Alligator mississippiensis: one gene and its partner. The protein of the gene in region 2 purifies or fractionates together with the protein of the main gene of each other region. This does not show direct contact. Links are inferred from orthologs where the notes say so. Each region holds a gene or a part of one and is shown on either strand. Other genes may lie near its edges.

Region 1 (7,557 bases), on a different chromosome or scaffold from region 2:
CCATGGAAGAGAAGAGCAGGACTATCGCTCTCTGGAGCGATGGAAAGCATTCACCACTCCAGACCCATCTGAGTCTCGTGGCCTTTCTCCTGGCCTGCCCCAGAGAAGGTGTACGCTCCAGCTTCCTTCTGCGAGCTGCACCCAGGCCTCTGAGGCCTGCCGGACCGGGTGGCACGTACGGCTTCGAGCTGTACAGCACCCACCGCACGCCAGGCTAGGCAGAAGGCTTCAACTTCCTGCACCTGGTTGCCTCTGTGCTTTTTTCCACAGCACTGGCATGCTGACAAACTCCTCAGTCCCGTGCTAGACTGGAGCAGCAAGTCCCTCGAGGCTAATGCACTGCACGGAAACATCGCCTCGCCTCCCAGGCAGACCTGCCGCCCCTTCCTGACTTCGTATGAGTTTCTGTGGTGGGCGAAGGCGTGAATGCAGGATGGCATGGCAGGGGCAGGGAGGTGCCGGGAAGGCAGAGAGGAGCCAGCGGGGCTGCCGAGGTGGCTCAGATTCACGGAGAATGAAGGTGCCCGCGTCTGGCTCCAGCGATGTTTTGCCCGCAGAACGAGGCACGCTCAGCTCCGGGTGCTTCCATCTCAGTGGTAAAACTAGACCCTCGAATCCACGGCCGTGCTCCTTGAGACCCGCCGCTCCTCGGGCCATGCACACCGATGGCCAGAAGCAAAGTGGTCGGTCTGCAGAGACGTCTGGCTCCAATCCACAACCAACGCGGTGTAGTCGGGGCCCTTCCTACACACTGACATTAATGGCGTCTTAGCCATTTGGGTTGCGGGGAGGGGCAGCGGATGAAAACGAAGCGAACGACTTTGCATCCGATGCGGCTGAGCCAGGGTGAGCGGCTCTCCCCAGAACAAAGAAACTGGATGCGGGGGTGAGTCAGGTCTGCAAATTCCCAGGGTGGAGAAATTGGAAGTCTGAAAAAGGGTTTTGTTGGGTTTTTTTTTTTTTTCCCCTAGCTAATGGGTAATCAAAGCGGGACTGTAATTAGATACGAGAAGAAGAGCATTACATATGGGGTGGGAGATAATGGAGAAGCAATATGCTCTGCCGCCCTGGGTAATTAAACCGGAAAGCTAGCGGCCTCGGAGATGCATAATGAACAGAGGTAACAACAACCTGAAATGCTCTGATTCTTGCTGCCAGGGGCCGGCGGGAGCTTCTGAAGACCCCGTTTTGCCGCTGCAATGCCCAAGAGCCAGGCCTTTTTCACGCACGTTGCAAAGTCCCCATGACGATGCCCCAAGCAATAGGGCTAAGCAAATCCCGCTAAGACGCTTGTGTTCCTTACCGTCTCCGATTTCTGCCGGGACCTGGCGTAGGGGACCTGGGCTCCAGTCATTAGCTATTGGAGAGGGGACAAGGGGAGGGGAGGTTTCACATCTCATGGTCTCTGGCTTTCCTTTCAGACACATTTGTGGCTTCTGCAGCCTGCTGCCACTAGCTCGGCCTGCCTAATGGATCGGCAGCCTCCTTGCTGCACCCTGTCTTTCACCTCTCCAAACTCAACCTTAAAAGGGTGCAGCGAGCAGCAGGCATCCAGAGGATAAAGCCCTTTTCAGACCAGCCTGCACCATACAGGCCAGAGGTGCATCTCCCTCAGTCTGATGCAGCTTCATTCGACCGGGTCCTGCCCCCCCGGCATCTGAAGCATAATCCTGAATCAAGCCATTGCTTTCCACGACATTGCTCCAGGTTTCCAGCAGCGCCAGTGGTGCCTCTTACCCCACTGTAAAGCAGGGGCTCGGTGGGTCGAGGGCCCAGGTGACTCTGTCTCTCTATTTAAAGTGCAGAGGAGGTAGGTGCCTCCCCAGGCTTTGTGGGCTCCACGCCCAGAACCAAGCTCCTAAATTTTAGGCGTTGAATGCTCGGCGTTGCCGCTGTAACTGCCTCTCCGGATCTGGCCCTTCGGCCCTCCTGAAAACTTTACACAAGGGCTTGCACAAGGGCTGGCGGAGTCACAGGAGATCTGGGGCCGGTTCCTGGCTCTGCCACAAGCTTCCCGTGCAACCTTGGGCAAGTCTTCTTGCCCCTTGCATCTATGGTGGGCAGGACAACACAACCGGTGCCTCTCCAGATGTTCGGCTCTTCGGGACACGGCCTGCTCCCGGTGGTGTGAAGAGCAACCAATGCTACGGGCCTCTGATCTCAGCAGGGGTTTCCAGGTGCTACTTTCATATAGATAAGAAGTAATAGAAGGAAATCCCTGGGAAAGGATCTCGCCGTATGCCATGCAAACAGGTCTGGACTCTTTCAGTCCCTCTCCAACAGTCACGTCTCACCCTGCCAGGAGCTCATTACATCTCATTCCCAGGACCGCAGGCTGCAGCCTGGGCCTGCACATCCCAAAGTCTTCTCACAGACAGGAAAAATAGTTCCCTGAGCCCCCTTCACACCTAGAGCTGTGGTTTTCCTGGGACCCCCACCCCAGCCTCAGCACGCACAGAAACCAGGTCGCTCCAAGCCAGGCTGGGTTCGATGGAGGCAGGCTCCCATGCCTGTCGGGATGCCAACTTCCAATTGATCGTGCACTTTAGCAACCGCCCGATATCCTGATCCTTCACACGCTGCCATCGATGGGAGGTTTGCCAGGGAGAGCAGGGTTGGATGCCTGCCCCTACCGCAGCAGCTGCCCGGGCACAGCTGGCACGGTGCAAACCCTGGCTGCACTGGTGTAAGAGATCGCTGGGCGGTCCGCAGCACGCATCCCACTGGTTTGCCTCTATAACCAGACCTCGTACCTACAGCCACTGCTCTCCCTCCTCCTACCTTCTTCCTCAACACCCGCTTTGCTGGATAAGCAGCGGGCCAGGCAGCCAGCCAGCTGGAACAGCTCCTCTCTCTTGCATTCATCAGCATTTTGTCATTTATTGCAGCACAAACATTGGGGCATGGTAATTCATTGACCAGACACCTCGTCTAGCTGCCCTGTGCAAATGCACACTCTAACTGGCGCGACTCTCACCCTCCCTTCCGAGATTCGTCGGGTCTGGTCTGAAACGAGGCAGTGGCATGAACTGTCCTCTATGATGTATTGAAACAGCACCCTGCACGCTTGGGCTTGCATCCCGGCTGCAGCCCCCGGGTGCTGCAGGCATCCTGGTCGTCAGCATCCTCTCTGCAAAGTCCAGACCCATCCAACCGCTAGCTAATGTTCCCTTCGAGTGGGTAGGATGGGCATGAGAGCACACTCCAGCCACGACCGGGGAAACTTGCTGATGTGGAAAATCTCTAACCCTCCTGTCTAATTACAGCTACGGCAAGGCTGTTGCATAAGCCCCCCCGTTCGGTACGCGCTGTCCTTGGAGACAGCACAAAGCCAAAGCACTTCTGCACCCGCATCCCGGGCTGGGCTGCTCTTTGCATTGGGAATCCCACCAGGTGAACCAAGCCAAGCAGCCACTTACCAACAGGATCCACCATGTCTATGTGGTCCACGAAGTCCCTCTTCCCAAGGTAGACTGTGAGCTGCAGGGAGAGGGGACACAAAGGGAATCAGGGACGGAGCAGACAAGCAGCCGGTGCCCATGCTCCACAAGGCCCAATCCCATATAAACCCCCCTGGTCACTTCTGTTCCACTGGAGAAGGCAAAACTAATGTTCAAATTGGGATTAATGGGGCAAGGGAGAGTGACGGCGTCTCCAAGACTCGATGTCTACAGCGGTGGGACAGGACCTGAATGTGGGGTGGCATGGGGTGGTTTAAGGGGGACACTTTTTAATACAGTTTCCAGGGGATAGTGGGGTATCATCCCTGGGGTAGCAGGTCAGGAGCAGGCAAGCTCTTCTCCATCCAGTGTGGAATATTTGGGCTTAAAGCGGCAGGACAAAGAGGGGGCTGTGAGAGTGAACTTGCCTGCAACCCTGCACAGCCCCTGAGCACCCTTTTCCTCTGTTTGCTGGCTGCCTGGCCAGGAGGGTCGGACCCGTCCTGGCAGGTCAGGGATGCTATAGAGACAGGCCTCGAGGAACATCGCAGCAGCGCTCGCAGTGTGCAATGGTGTGACCCACGCTTTCGGGGTGCAACCCACGCCTTAAGCACACAGGGCTCTCGCTAAAGATAGCAGCTTGACCAAGAGCTAATCATGGAAAGCACTGGGTCAGCAACACATTCCCCACCTGCCTCCTAGGGGGCATCGCCATTGCCATCCCCATCCCCGGTGGTACAGGAACCTGCTATCTCACCAGGCACTGCCTGCTCCGGTAGCGAGTATAGCAATGAGCAAGGCGGCTCATTCATGAGCTTCCTTCTGGCTCTGCTTTTACATCACAGTGCCTGTTTTTGACTCCTCGCTTGACCATTAGTCCTTGCAGGCGATGGATCCTCCAGCCCACATCTGGAAGGAGAGCTGGGAGTGGGAAACACCCTGCTTAGCATCCCTGTGCTGTGAGCCCAGGGTGTATCTAGAGCAGTGATTCTCAACAGGGTGCCCCAGGAGGCCGCACAGCATTAGCACCGCTAGGTGTGCAAACGGGATGTGCAAGATACACCCAGGTCTGGGACAGACATTGCATCAACCGGTTTGTTAAGTCTGAGACTACATTCGACCAGGTTTGTCTCAAACCGGTTTCAGCCCTTTTCAAACTGGTTTATGTGCCCTGAACATCTGTTCTGTTCCAGGTTTAAACCAGTTTCTGATCACTGAAACTGGTTTATGTGTAATGTCCGTCCCTAGCCCGAGATTTCAAACAGGAATTCATAGTTGGGGTCTTTTGAAGAACTTTGCAGCAGAAAACCTGCTCTATTATTTCTCCAAAAAAAAAGAGTGACAGGTGAGAGCTGGTGTTTTCCCAAGGGGGTCTTGATCTATCCAGGGGTGTCGCATGTCTAAAACCCCTGGTCTTGAGTGACCCGCCTTACTCTTCCTCGCATCCACCATCATTGATTTAGAGATGCCAGAGAATACAGCCCTCATTGGTGTGTTTAATACCTATTAATAGACTGATCATCCAAGAATTGGTCTAGCCCCTTCCTGAACCTGGCTATGCTATCTGCCCCGACAGCTTCCTGCGGCAGCGAGTCCCACAGGTTAACAACGCAGCGAGTGAAAAAGCCCTTTCTCCGAGTTCATTTTAAGCTCATCGCCTATTTATTTCAACGAGCGCTCCCTAGTTCCAGCATCTGGGACACGGCAAGTAGCAGTTGTCATTTGGTGCACACCCTTCGTGATTGTATAGACCTCTACCATATCCCTCCTCGGCCGCCGTCTTTCCAAACTAAAGAGTCTCACCCAGCCTTTCTAGTCTTTCCTAGTACGGCAGCTGCTCTATATCCCCAATTATTTGGGTCGCTCTTCTCCGTGCCTTTTTTAACCTTACTACATCCTTTTTGAGATAAGGAGACCAAAACCCATGCGAGGGTACCACCCACCCCTGCATCAGGGTTCGCAGCAAATGCATCCAACCGGGAACACTGCCAGGCTCCGGCCAGGTACATCCATCAAACCATAGCTCAAGTTAATCTGCTTATCCTGAATGCATTAATAAGCCTAATAAGTAAATCCCCTGTCTGGCAGGGCCTGTGTGGGTAGCTGGGGTATCATGTGCAGTCCCATACAGCTTTGTTGGCATGCCATACTCATTTCCAGTTCTCCTTGCAACCAAAGGAGCTCCTCTCTTGAAGTCGGCTCTTTCACCTCGGGATGAGGCCTGGTTCTTCTCAGGGTGCCAAGGTTGGATGGAGATTTCTCCCTGGCTCCATTTCTGAAACCTCCCTCAGGCCTAAGCCAATAAGTAGGGAGGGCAGAAGGGCAAAGATCTGCATCGGAGAGACATGGCTGTCAGCGGCTCTCCGAGCCAAGCTGCTGGATGGACATGCAGGCAACAGATGGTCCCGAGCAGCTTACAAAGGAGCTGAAACCGTCGGCAGTACAGGAAGGATGCAGCTCAATGGGTTTTGTGCCTCTTGCATGGCATTAGAAAAGATATACAACCCGCCGGGTTTTACCGCTGTCTGATTTTATCATAGCCCAGCCCTTAAATCCTGCTTGTAGCACAATGATCCATCTAACCCGAGACGTTTCCCCAGCGGTATCCCCAGCACGGCTCGCTGCTGGTCTGCATGGGAGGAATTTGCAGCCGCAGCAAACAGCCCCGCACATGACCAGCCCGTCCCTTTGGCTGCCTGCAGCATCCCCCTTCCTCGTGCCTCAGCCGTTGTCTGCAGGGTTGTCCCTGGGACCTGAGCGTGAATGAAAATCAGGCCCCTACCTTCCTCTAGGAGTGGAAAGCACCAAGGCATTTTTGTCTCAGCTGGAAAAACAGCCCCCCAACAGCGTGTGCTTGGTGTCGTAGGCCTGCCGGAGAGCCCTCTGACTCCAGGGGTCCATAGATGTGCGGATAGCCCTGCCGGCTTGCAGCACTCACGGCCTGTCCAGCGTGCAATGGCACTGGCACGGAGGGGGCCGATTGCCTGGCTTGGAGGTAAGGGGGGATGCTTTTCCCGGGAGGTCCCATGTCACCTGCACCCGGCTTAGCCAGACGGCACCCGGCGAGCCCAACGGGCCAGGAGCGCCAGCACGGTGCTGCTCTCCCTGCTCATGGGAAGGGGATGGTAATGAAGCTGGCAGTGGCTCCGGGAGGACTGGCAGTCCAACCGCTTGCTTCCTGCTGCGCTGTAATCACTTCTCAGGCATTTCTCTCCCCAGTTATGCCAGAGACAGAGCTCAGCAAGCGCTCGTGCAGCAGGATCCCCCAGGGAGGCACTCTCCGGCCAGATGGCACGGCGGATCGCCAGCCAGGCAATCAGCTGCAGGATGTTTAGAGAGATGCACTAAGATACCCAGGGCTGAAAGGCAGAGAGGGGAAGGCTGGCAGAACCGTCTCCCCGCTCCTCCAGCATGTTCTTATCCAGGGCTAGGGACGGGGTCACTTTGCAACAGGCTCTGCCCTTCAGGGGTCCTGCCTGCACCAAACAAGAGCCCGGGAGCAAGCTGCAAGGCGGCACCAGTCTGGAGCCCTGTGCGATGAGGATCCAGTCCTCCCGGCTGCAAAGCGGCATCCCCTCCGGGTCACACGTGTGAGGACAGAGGTGCAGGAGGGACACCTCTGATGGACGAGCGCTAAACGGACCAGACGCGGGTTCTGCCTTCTCTCTCCGTCGGTCCAAGACAGATGCGATGAGTGTTATAATCCCAGCACCATCAGGCACAGGCCTAGGAACTGTCCTGATCCTGAGACAGACCCAGGCCAGAGCGGGCAGGGACGAGGGGCACCTCTATCAGCTGGGGGATGCTCCACAAACCACCTGCAATACGAGACGACCTGCCGTCACCTCCTGCACGAGTCTTCAGTTAACAGCTGACGGAGCAGGAGATTTTGGTCATCTCTGCCGCTGTTTCCAGTAATCATGTTCAGGGCTGTCTTATATCGCTTGGTCCAATGCCCGAGAGCACACGGAGTGCGTCTCAGCGCTCTGTTAAGGACAGTGCTGAGTTTTTTTAGTGTGCCAGCTTCGGGCGCTCAGGGGCTGGTAGCATGCAGCTGGCCTGGTCCCGTGGGACGACTGCCCATCATCCTGGAGTGGGTTTGCAAATCCTTGTCCTG
Region 2 (7,653 bases):
CGCAGGTAAAGATCAAAAGAGACCAAAGGACAGCCAGGAATTGATTCCTTGAGATGCATCCAGGCGATCCTCAAAGGTAAGCCAGCAGGGGAAGAGGAACCTGCCCCATACAGCCTCCTGCTCCTCTGACCACTTCCATCCCAGCCCTGGATATGGTAACCAGTATGACCGTGAGCATGGGAGTGAGACAGACCAGCCAGGCATGGACTGGACTCTGTGCACCACCTCTGAGCCCTGTCTCCAGATTTAACCCAGAAAGGATATGATGTCCCCAACAGGCAGCCCCTTCCCCGCTGCGTCTGCACTGGAGAGAATGGCCCTGACCTGGTGCTGCCCTTCAGCCCAGCCAGGACGGGATTATTTCCAAAGGGCCTCCTTGCAAAGCATCGGTGGAGGGTCTTTGCTGGGTGGGCACTTCAGTCCTGCTGCACGGCTACCTAGCCATAGGCTATTTCTTTGCCCACCATCATGTGGTGACCTAGCCAGCTTTCTCGAGCTGAGCAGGGTCAGGGTGGGCCACCCCACCGGGCAGAGAGCGGGCGGGCGATTTATTCGGCGGCCCTCTTCCGTCTAGACGAGACCTAGCGGGTGCATGGGACACCACTGCCTGGAGAGGTCCGTTCACCGTCCTGTCTCCCCATGGCCCCTGTTGGTTGTTCAGAGGAGAAAGCAAAGCCTTAGGGGCACCTTGGGGTCTTTAGAAATCAAGTATATTCACTAAGGTCATAATCACAGTTATACAGAGATGCTGCATGCAGCGCTATAGAGCACTTGTACACGTCACGGCGCCAAAAATTGCCACTTTGCTAGGTTAGTCGTGTCTGAAAATACACCTTGACGTCTTTATCGTGGTAGAGCTCGATTTATCGGGGTAAATTAGACCACCTCCAACATGTTTTATTTTTTAGCGTGGCCAATTGTTACAGCAGGATTACTTTGCTCACGATACATAGAGACCGTGAAGCGAGATCCTTGACCCCGGCTGACTGCCACGTGCTGCTGCAGCTGGCCCTAATGCCCAAGTGTCCCTGCAGATCCTCCGATTTCTCTGCGTGGCTAAGCTGGCCCTGGATTTTGCAGCTGCCGCTCTGCCCAATAGATGTGGCCAACCACCTGGACCCAAATCCCCCCAAACTTGGGATGCAGGGTCACGGGGGGAGGTTGTAATGCAGATCTGAGCGGCTCAGGGAACAGCCCCCTATCTATGGTGCACATTTCCCGACTATAAGTACCTAATGTCAAGGATCCATTATTAAGCAAAGAAACTAAGCTGAACCTCGCTCAGCATTCGTGGTAAAGATGGGAGGAAAGCGTCCTCACAGGCCTACGGGTCCACAGACAAGTATCCATAGGAAATGCCAGCTTCCAGATGGCTGAGGAGCTGATTGACAGCAGCTTCCCAGTTTGCTAAATGCTCCCAAGCCGTGCTTTAGACGGGGCATGAGTGGAGTAATTCAGGATGGAATAGATGTGGGCGAGCTTTTCACAAACCGATAATCAAAGGCCTCTAAACCAGCAAGCAATGCACCCGGCTTGTGGAGCGCTGGACACGAACAGGCCTGCCTGGGCATAAGTGTCCTGAGCTGCCTATTAAATTACTACAGCTTTATCCTTGTCTGGATTTTAAAGAGCTTCCTGCAATCCTTTCATGACTCAGTGTCCTGGCATGGAAATCACATAGCTGAAAGGTTAGCTTTTCAAATCCACTGAGGATATTTCACCTTCCTAAAAATAAAGACCTGGCAAAATAGCTCCAAGCTCCTTCAAAAATGCATGAAAAAAAACCTCACCTTTTAATAACTGCATGCTGTTCGGGGAGTTTTGGTTTTTTTCCTCGGTGGGGTTTGGGCTAGGGAGGATTTTCCTATTTATAATTGTGCAGCTGTTTGCTTGGCTGAATCGCTCTATTTATTATACGCCCTGTTTACCTTCCTTACCTGTAACTGCGGCACGACAAAAAAATTCTTCAGATGCATTCGCTGGAGCGGGTTGTGTTACTACAGGTCCCGGCAGCGCCGCCGACTGAGCCGTGTTCAGGGCTCGAGCACGCGAGGGAGGCTCTGGACTGAAGTGACCCCGCACCGGAGCAGGATTGCTTGCTTGGAAAGAAAGCACCAATTTTTAAGCCTTTTTTATAGGGATGCTCTCCACACGTTGTTATCCCACCTGGACGGCTGTCTCACCTGCGTGGCCTTAATGCCATCCTTCTCTTTGCCCTCCCCACCTAGCCGGCTTGCTGCCCCCCTCCCATCTTGCTTTGCACCTATTAGGACTCCTGTTATTTTGTGTAGCTGAAATTCCTGGAAAAAGGAGCTGGGGATTGCAAAGAAGGAAGTGGGAATGGGGAACTTCATTGGCATGCAGGATACGGCTGGCGCAGGTGCCCGCAGCTTGCCCGGGGCTTCTCGAGCACGTTAATAGGAGAGAGGCAGCAAGAGCCCAGGCCAAGCTTGGGTCCAGAGAGGGCAGCGCTGGGCAAGTGAGACTCAGGGGCATCCAAACCCCAAGCCCCCGGGCTTGGGTCCGCACATAGGATGCCCACCAATGGATCTGGGAGCATCTGAAGCCACAGGCTGCAAAGTCTGGGGTGACAGATTCCTGCCGGTTGCAGAGCCACGTACGGTGTTTGAACGATAAAGCGCTGCTCAATCGAGAGGGTTCGGCCAGTTCGACCCAGAATGAGACAAATTTTCCAAAAAAAAAATTCTGAATGGTGTCGAGTGCAAGTCCTGCCCACGACTCCAGCCACCGGGACCCTCCAGCGGCGCTCATTTCCACAGTGCATTTTGCCTCCGTGGGCAGGCAGGCAGGGAGAATGAAGGGTGCTGCAAGCAGGCAGGGCATTACTTGTGACGTGGGACAACCCAAATCAGGGCCCACGACCGTCAAGGCCTTTAAGTGGGTCTAGGCAGGGCTGACCCGGCCTCGAGCACGGGGCTGAGCTAGAAGATCTCTTGTGGTGCCTCCCTGCCCTTATTCCAGGGCACACGTTGAGGTTAGTTGCATGGGACTCGCTGCCCCAGGGAGCATCTTGCCTGGGCACTGAAAGGGGAGCCTACAGTAGCTGCTGAGCACCGAAAAACCCCCGTCCGGAGCTTTTTGGAGAATCTAGGCCCCTTCCATGACTTGGGGTACATCGTCACTTCCCCCCTGTTCTCCCAGATGAGAGATGAGGATGAGTGGGCATGAAGATCTTTGAATGCTAAGGATTGCAGTAATCACCTGGAAGAGGCAAATTCTGCCCAGGGTGGGTGCTCTGTGGGGATATTTGCAGCAGACAGGCCTTTCTCAGCAGGAGGCAGCGAATGGACACCCCCTTTAGCGCGTCCAGGCTTCCTATGCAACTCGGTGAGAGCTGAAAACCTTGCATGGAAAACCTTGCATGACACATCTTGTTTTCTATCGTGAGCCTCGCATGTGGCCCTCCGCGCGGTTTTCGAAAAACAAGCTCCCGGCGTGTCGCAACATTACTTAAAAAAAGAAATCAAAGCAAAACAAACGGAAAGACTCCTGGAGGTATAAAAAACCCTTCCAGATGGGCCCGTGTCAAAGTAGGTCAAAATCTGCTCCTAAATATATGTGCAGCAGACAGTGGCCCTTTTAAGTCTCAGAGGCTGATTCTCATTTGCACCCGGGGTTTTAACGCTGGCGTAACCCCACGGACGTCCACGCCGGGTTGACCTTGGTGGGGTCTCTCTCCTTGGTCATAAAGCCACGGGCGCTGAAAACCTAACGCAGACTTGCCTGAAGGCCAGGCGGGTCCACGCTCTCCAGTTCATACTCAGCAACCGCCTGGATTTATATTGACGACGGGCGATCATTTGCACGAGCGCATATATTTATGTGTATCGATGATGCGCGATCGTTTGCATAACGATCACTCGCCCGGTGCAACGGCGCAGCTGTCGTGTTGCATTGGCTGCTGGAAGACGGCCCCGGGCCCGGGGCGCTCGCGCTCACCTTGACGGCTGAGGCTGTCGAAGGGGCTCGGTTTGGGAGCCAGCTGGCGCAGAGCCAGGCTTATATTTAATCTCGTCCATAAATACTAATAACGGTTGTGCGTTTGAGGGCGGGAGGGGTGCACGGTGCACAGCATTAAACCTTCCAAAAATAAACCTCTGCCGAAGTGAACGGAGCCCGGTTTTTCCTGGAAAGAAAAGAGACTCAGGGGTGGGGGCCGCCTCGCAGAGCCCACCCCCTGCCCAGACCCTCCGTTTCGGGGACTCCTAGGGCTGGCCGCGACCCCCGGCCCGCGTGAAGGAAAGCTGACCCTAAACCATCCCTGACCCGCGCTTCTTTGATCTCCTTTAGAAAACCTCCAACAACCACTCCTTGACTAAAAAGACATGCCAGCATGGAAACCTCTCGGCTCGGCGGTGAGACCCACTGAGGACGGGCAACCAAGCCAAGCCAAACCAAACCAGCAACTTCATGGTGTTTTCCGTCTCAGGACGCGGAGCAATGGGCTCGGGCTGCAGCGAGGGTAAGTGGAGGCGGGCGGGCGGAAGAACTACCCGCCCCACAAGGCCGCGCTGCCGGGAAGAGGAAGGGGGCGGCGCGGGCAAAGGGCGGCGGGCGGCGCGGCGCGGCGGCATGCGGGGCCGAGGCCGGGGCCGGGGCCAGGACCGGGACGCGGGCGGCGGCATGGCCGCGGCGGGGCCGCACCAGCGCGAGCTCCTCGCCTTCATCCACCACCACCTGCGCCAGGCCGGCTTCGCCCGCGCCGCCCGCGAGCTCCAGCGCCAGCTCGGACAGGTAAGGGCGCCCGGCCCGGCCCGGCCCGGCCCGGCCCCGCCGCGTGCGCTGCGCTGCGCTGCGCTGCGCTGCCAGGGGATCCCCGGCCTCCAGGCCAGCGCGGTGCAGTGCCCTGGCCTTCAGTGTGTTGTATGGCAGTGCCCTGGCCTTCAGGGCAGTGCATCGGGGTGCCCCGGACTTCAGGGCAGTGCATTGCAATGCCCTGGGCTTCAGTGTGTTGCATTGGGGTGCCCTGGCCTTCAGTGCAGTGCATGGGGGTGCCCTGGCCTTCAGTGTGTTGCATGGGGGTGCCCTGGCCTTCAGTGCAGTGCATGGGGGTGCCCTGGCCTTCAGTGTGTTGCATGGGGGTGCCCTGGCCTTCAGTGTGTTGCATGGGGGTGCCCTGGCCTTCAGTGCAGTGCATGGGGGTGCCCTGGCCTTCAGTGCAGTGCATGGGGGTGCCCTGGCCTTCAGTGCAGTGCATCGGGGTGCCCTGGCCTTCAGTGTGTTGTATTGCAGTGCCCTGGGCTTCAGTGCAGTGCATCGGGGTGCCCTGGCCTTCAGGGCATTGTATTGTAATGCCCTGGCCTTCAGCGCAGTGCCCCGGGCTTCAGTGTGTTGTATTGCAGTGCCCTGGGCATCAGGGCAGCGCATTGGGGTGCCCCGGGCGTCAATGCACTGGGTTGCCTTGGGTTTCAGTGCATGGCATTGCATAGACCAGTGGTTCTCAAACTTTTTTTCATGGACCACATGAAAATTGCTGAGGGTCTCAGCAGACCACTTAATAAAAATGTTTTTTGTTCTACAAATCAAAGCCCACAACTCATGTTTTAATATCGGTAGTCTGACCTTTAATGCAGTGGACGTGCCTGTTTTTATGAGCAAAGTTCCAGGAAGTCTAGTGTAATGTTTCAGCTTTAGTCTTAGGTCACCTTTCTGCGGACCACCGTTTGAGAACCTCTGCCGTAGACATTAGGGCTGGAAGGGACATTGCAAGATCATGGGATCCAGCCCCCTGCCCCAGGGGCAGGAAGTTTGCTGGGGTCAAATGATCCCAGTGAGATAAGCATCCAAGTGTGTCTTAAAGGGGTCCAGACTAGGTACTTGCACCACTTCTGGGGGAGAGTCTATTCCAGATTGTAGACCCGGATGGTAAAGAAGATTTTTCCAATGTCCAGCCTAAAACAGTCTTCCCAGAGGTTGCACTGGGTTTCAGTGCATTGCATTGGGTTGGGCTGGATATTAGGAAGAATTTTCTCACTAGGAGGGTGGTGAAGCACTGGGCCAAGTTACCCAGAGAGGTGGTGGAGTCTGCATGCTTGGAGGTGTTTAAGACCCGGGTTGACAAAGCCTTGTCTGGGATGCTGTAGTTGGGGCTGGCCCTGCTTGGAGCAGGGGGTTGAACTAGATGCGTCCTCCTGGGGTCCCTTCTAACCCTCGTTTTCTATGATTTCAGTGCACTGCATTGCACTGGATTTGATTGCATTGCATTTGCGGTGCTTCCTATACCTTCATCCCCCTGGCCCAGCCTGGGAGGAACCTCGTGGCCAGGCTGCAGCCCCCCCTGCTCCCCATGGCCACTGCTTCCAGCCTCTTGACAGGTCCCAACAATTGCTTGCTTGTGCTCCTGTGACTGCCCCGTGACGGGGTGGACGTGCTGCGGCTGCCTAGGCTATTCCTGCTGGATCCCCACTACCTCCAAATATAAGCCATGGTGCGTGGCGGGGAGGGAGCGAGGGCTGGGCTGGTGGTTTCTGTGTGATCTGGACCAGACGCCAGACTGATTGAATGGTTGCTCCAAGTAGGGCGCCCTTTTTCTTTTGGCGTCCGCGGTCCCATGGGAAAGTGAGAACTTTGCTTTAAAATAAAATGCTAGCTGGGAAAGGAGGCATCCTGAGCTTGGCCTTATTGCTGTATCTGCGCATGCGTGCAAGGGATGGAGGGGGAATTAATACCCATTCGACCTCAGCTGGTGAGTTAAACCGCTCCTGCCGACTTTTCATGAGGCTGTCTAGGGCTGCACGTGCTGACTGGCCTCTGTGCACGTAGCCAGAAGTGTGTTGGAAACCTCCAGTCGGCCTCCCCAGAAGCGGGCATCGTTGTCTTTAATGGGCTGGCTAGTGCAGGGCTGCAAAAGTCGAGGATGGAGAGCAGTAATTCGAACTCGGTCCCACTCAGAGATGCTGCGAACTGCCTTTAAACAGTGCTGCCAGGCACCTTAGTCCTGAGCGAAGCTGGTGGAGATCCCACGTGGCGCTGTTCCTAACCCACGGTGCCTTTTCTCCATGCAAACATCTGCAGTGTAGACCTGAGACTAGACCTTCCACGTAAATCCTTCTGCTGACAGTGGTGGAGCTCTCCCGAGTTGCATGGAGCAGCTGAGTCCTTCGACTTCCTTTGTATCGTGTTGGTAGTGGACCTTGAACTGAAACGATGGGGGCTGCAGTTCTGTTCGATGGTTTCTTAGTCATCTGCTGAGACCCCTTAAGTCATGTTTTTTGCAGTGTCTTTCCATCTGCTTCCTGCTTTCCCTTGCACCTTGATAAGAACTGGAATTAATGTTTCCTTTCTGTTTCTCCCGCAGAAAGAGTTTCCTTCGCTGCCGACCTCTCTCGAGGAGATCTTCACCCACTGGAAGAAGTAAGTCCGTCCAGTAGAAACCCTTATCAAAAAGGCTCCAACTCATTTTTCTCTCCCACCATAGCAGGAACCAAATTCGGCTGCCTTTGCGGTTTCTGCTCGCTGGGGTGGGCTGACTTACCGGAAATACTCTCGCTGCTGCAAGATGGAAATGTGGTTTGAACGATGGGGTCTTCTCCACTACCATGCCCTGCCTTCCGCATCTACAGCTGCTTAAAAGACAGCTCTCCTAGGGCATAAGAGTTAAATACTGTTCGGTCTGGTTGCACTCCACATGGC

What was found.
Region 1: the proteins of TCOF1 (region 2) and ARRB1 purify together in Homo sapiens (affinity purification with western blotting; 5 studies listed by BioGRID and IntAct, with this or other methods). This does not show direct contact. The link is inferred for Alligator mississippiensis from reciprocal best matches to the Homo sapiens genes TCOF1 and ARRB1.

Annotation. Positions count from the first base shown.
Region 1 is NC_081824.1:478,359,529-478,367,085, reverse strand, and holds the start of ARRB1 (beta-arrestin-1), read right to left. Parts: upstream 3,165-7,557; 5' UTR 3,150-3,164; coding exon 2,978-3,149; intron 2,726-2,977; exon of another isoform or gene 1,428-2,725; coding exon of another isoform or gene 1,304-1,427; intron 1-1,303. UniProt on the Homo sapiens protein: Functions in regulating agonist-mediated G-protein coupled receptor (GPCR) signaling by mediating both receptor desensitization and resensitization processes.
Region 2 is NC_081832.1:75,212,605-75,220,257, forward strand, and holds the start of TCOF1 (treacle protein), read left to right. Parts: upstream 1-4,585; 5' UTR 4,586-4,593; coding exon 4,594-4,755; intron 4,756-7,318; coding exon 7,319-7,374; intron 7,375-7,653.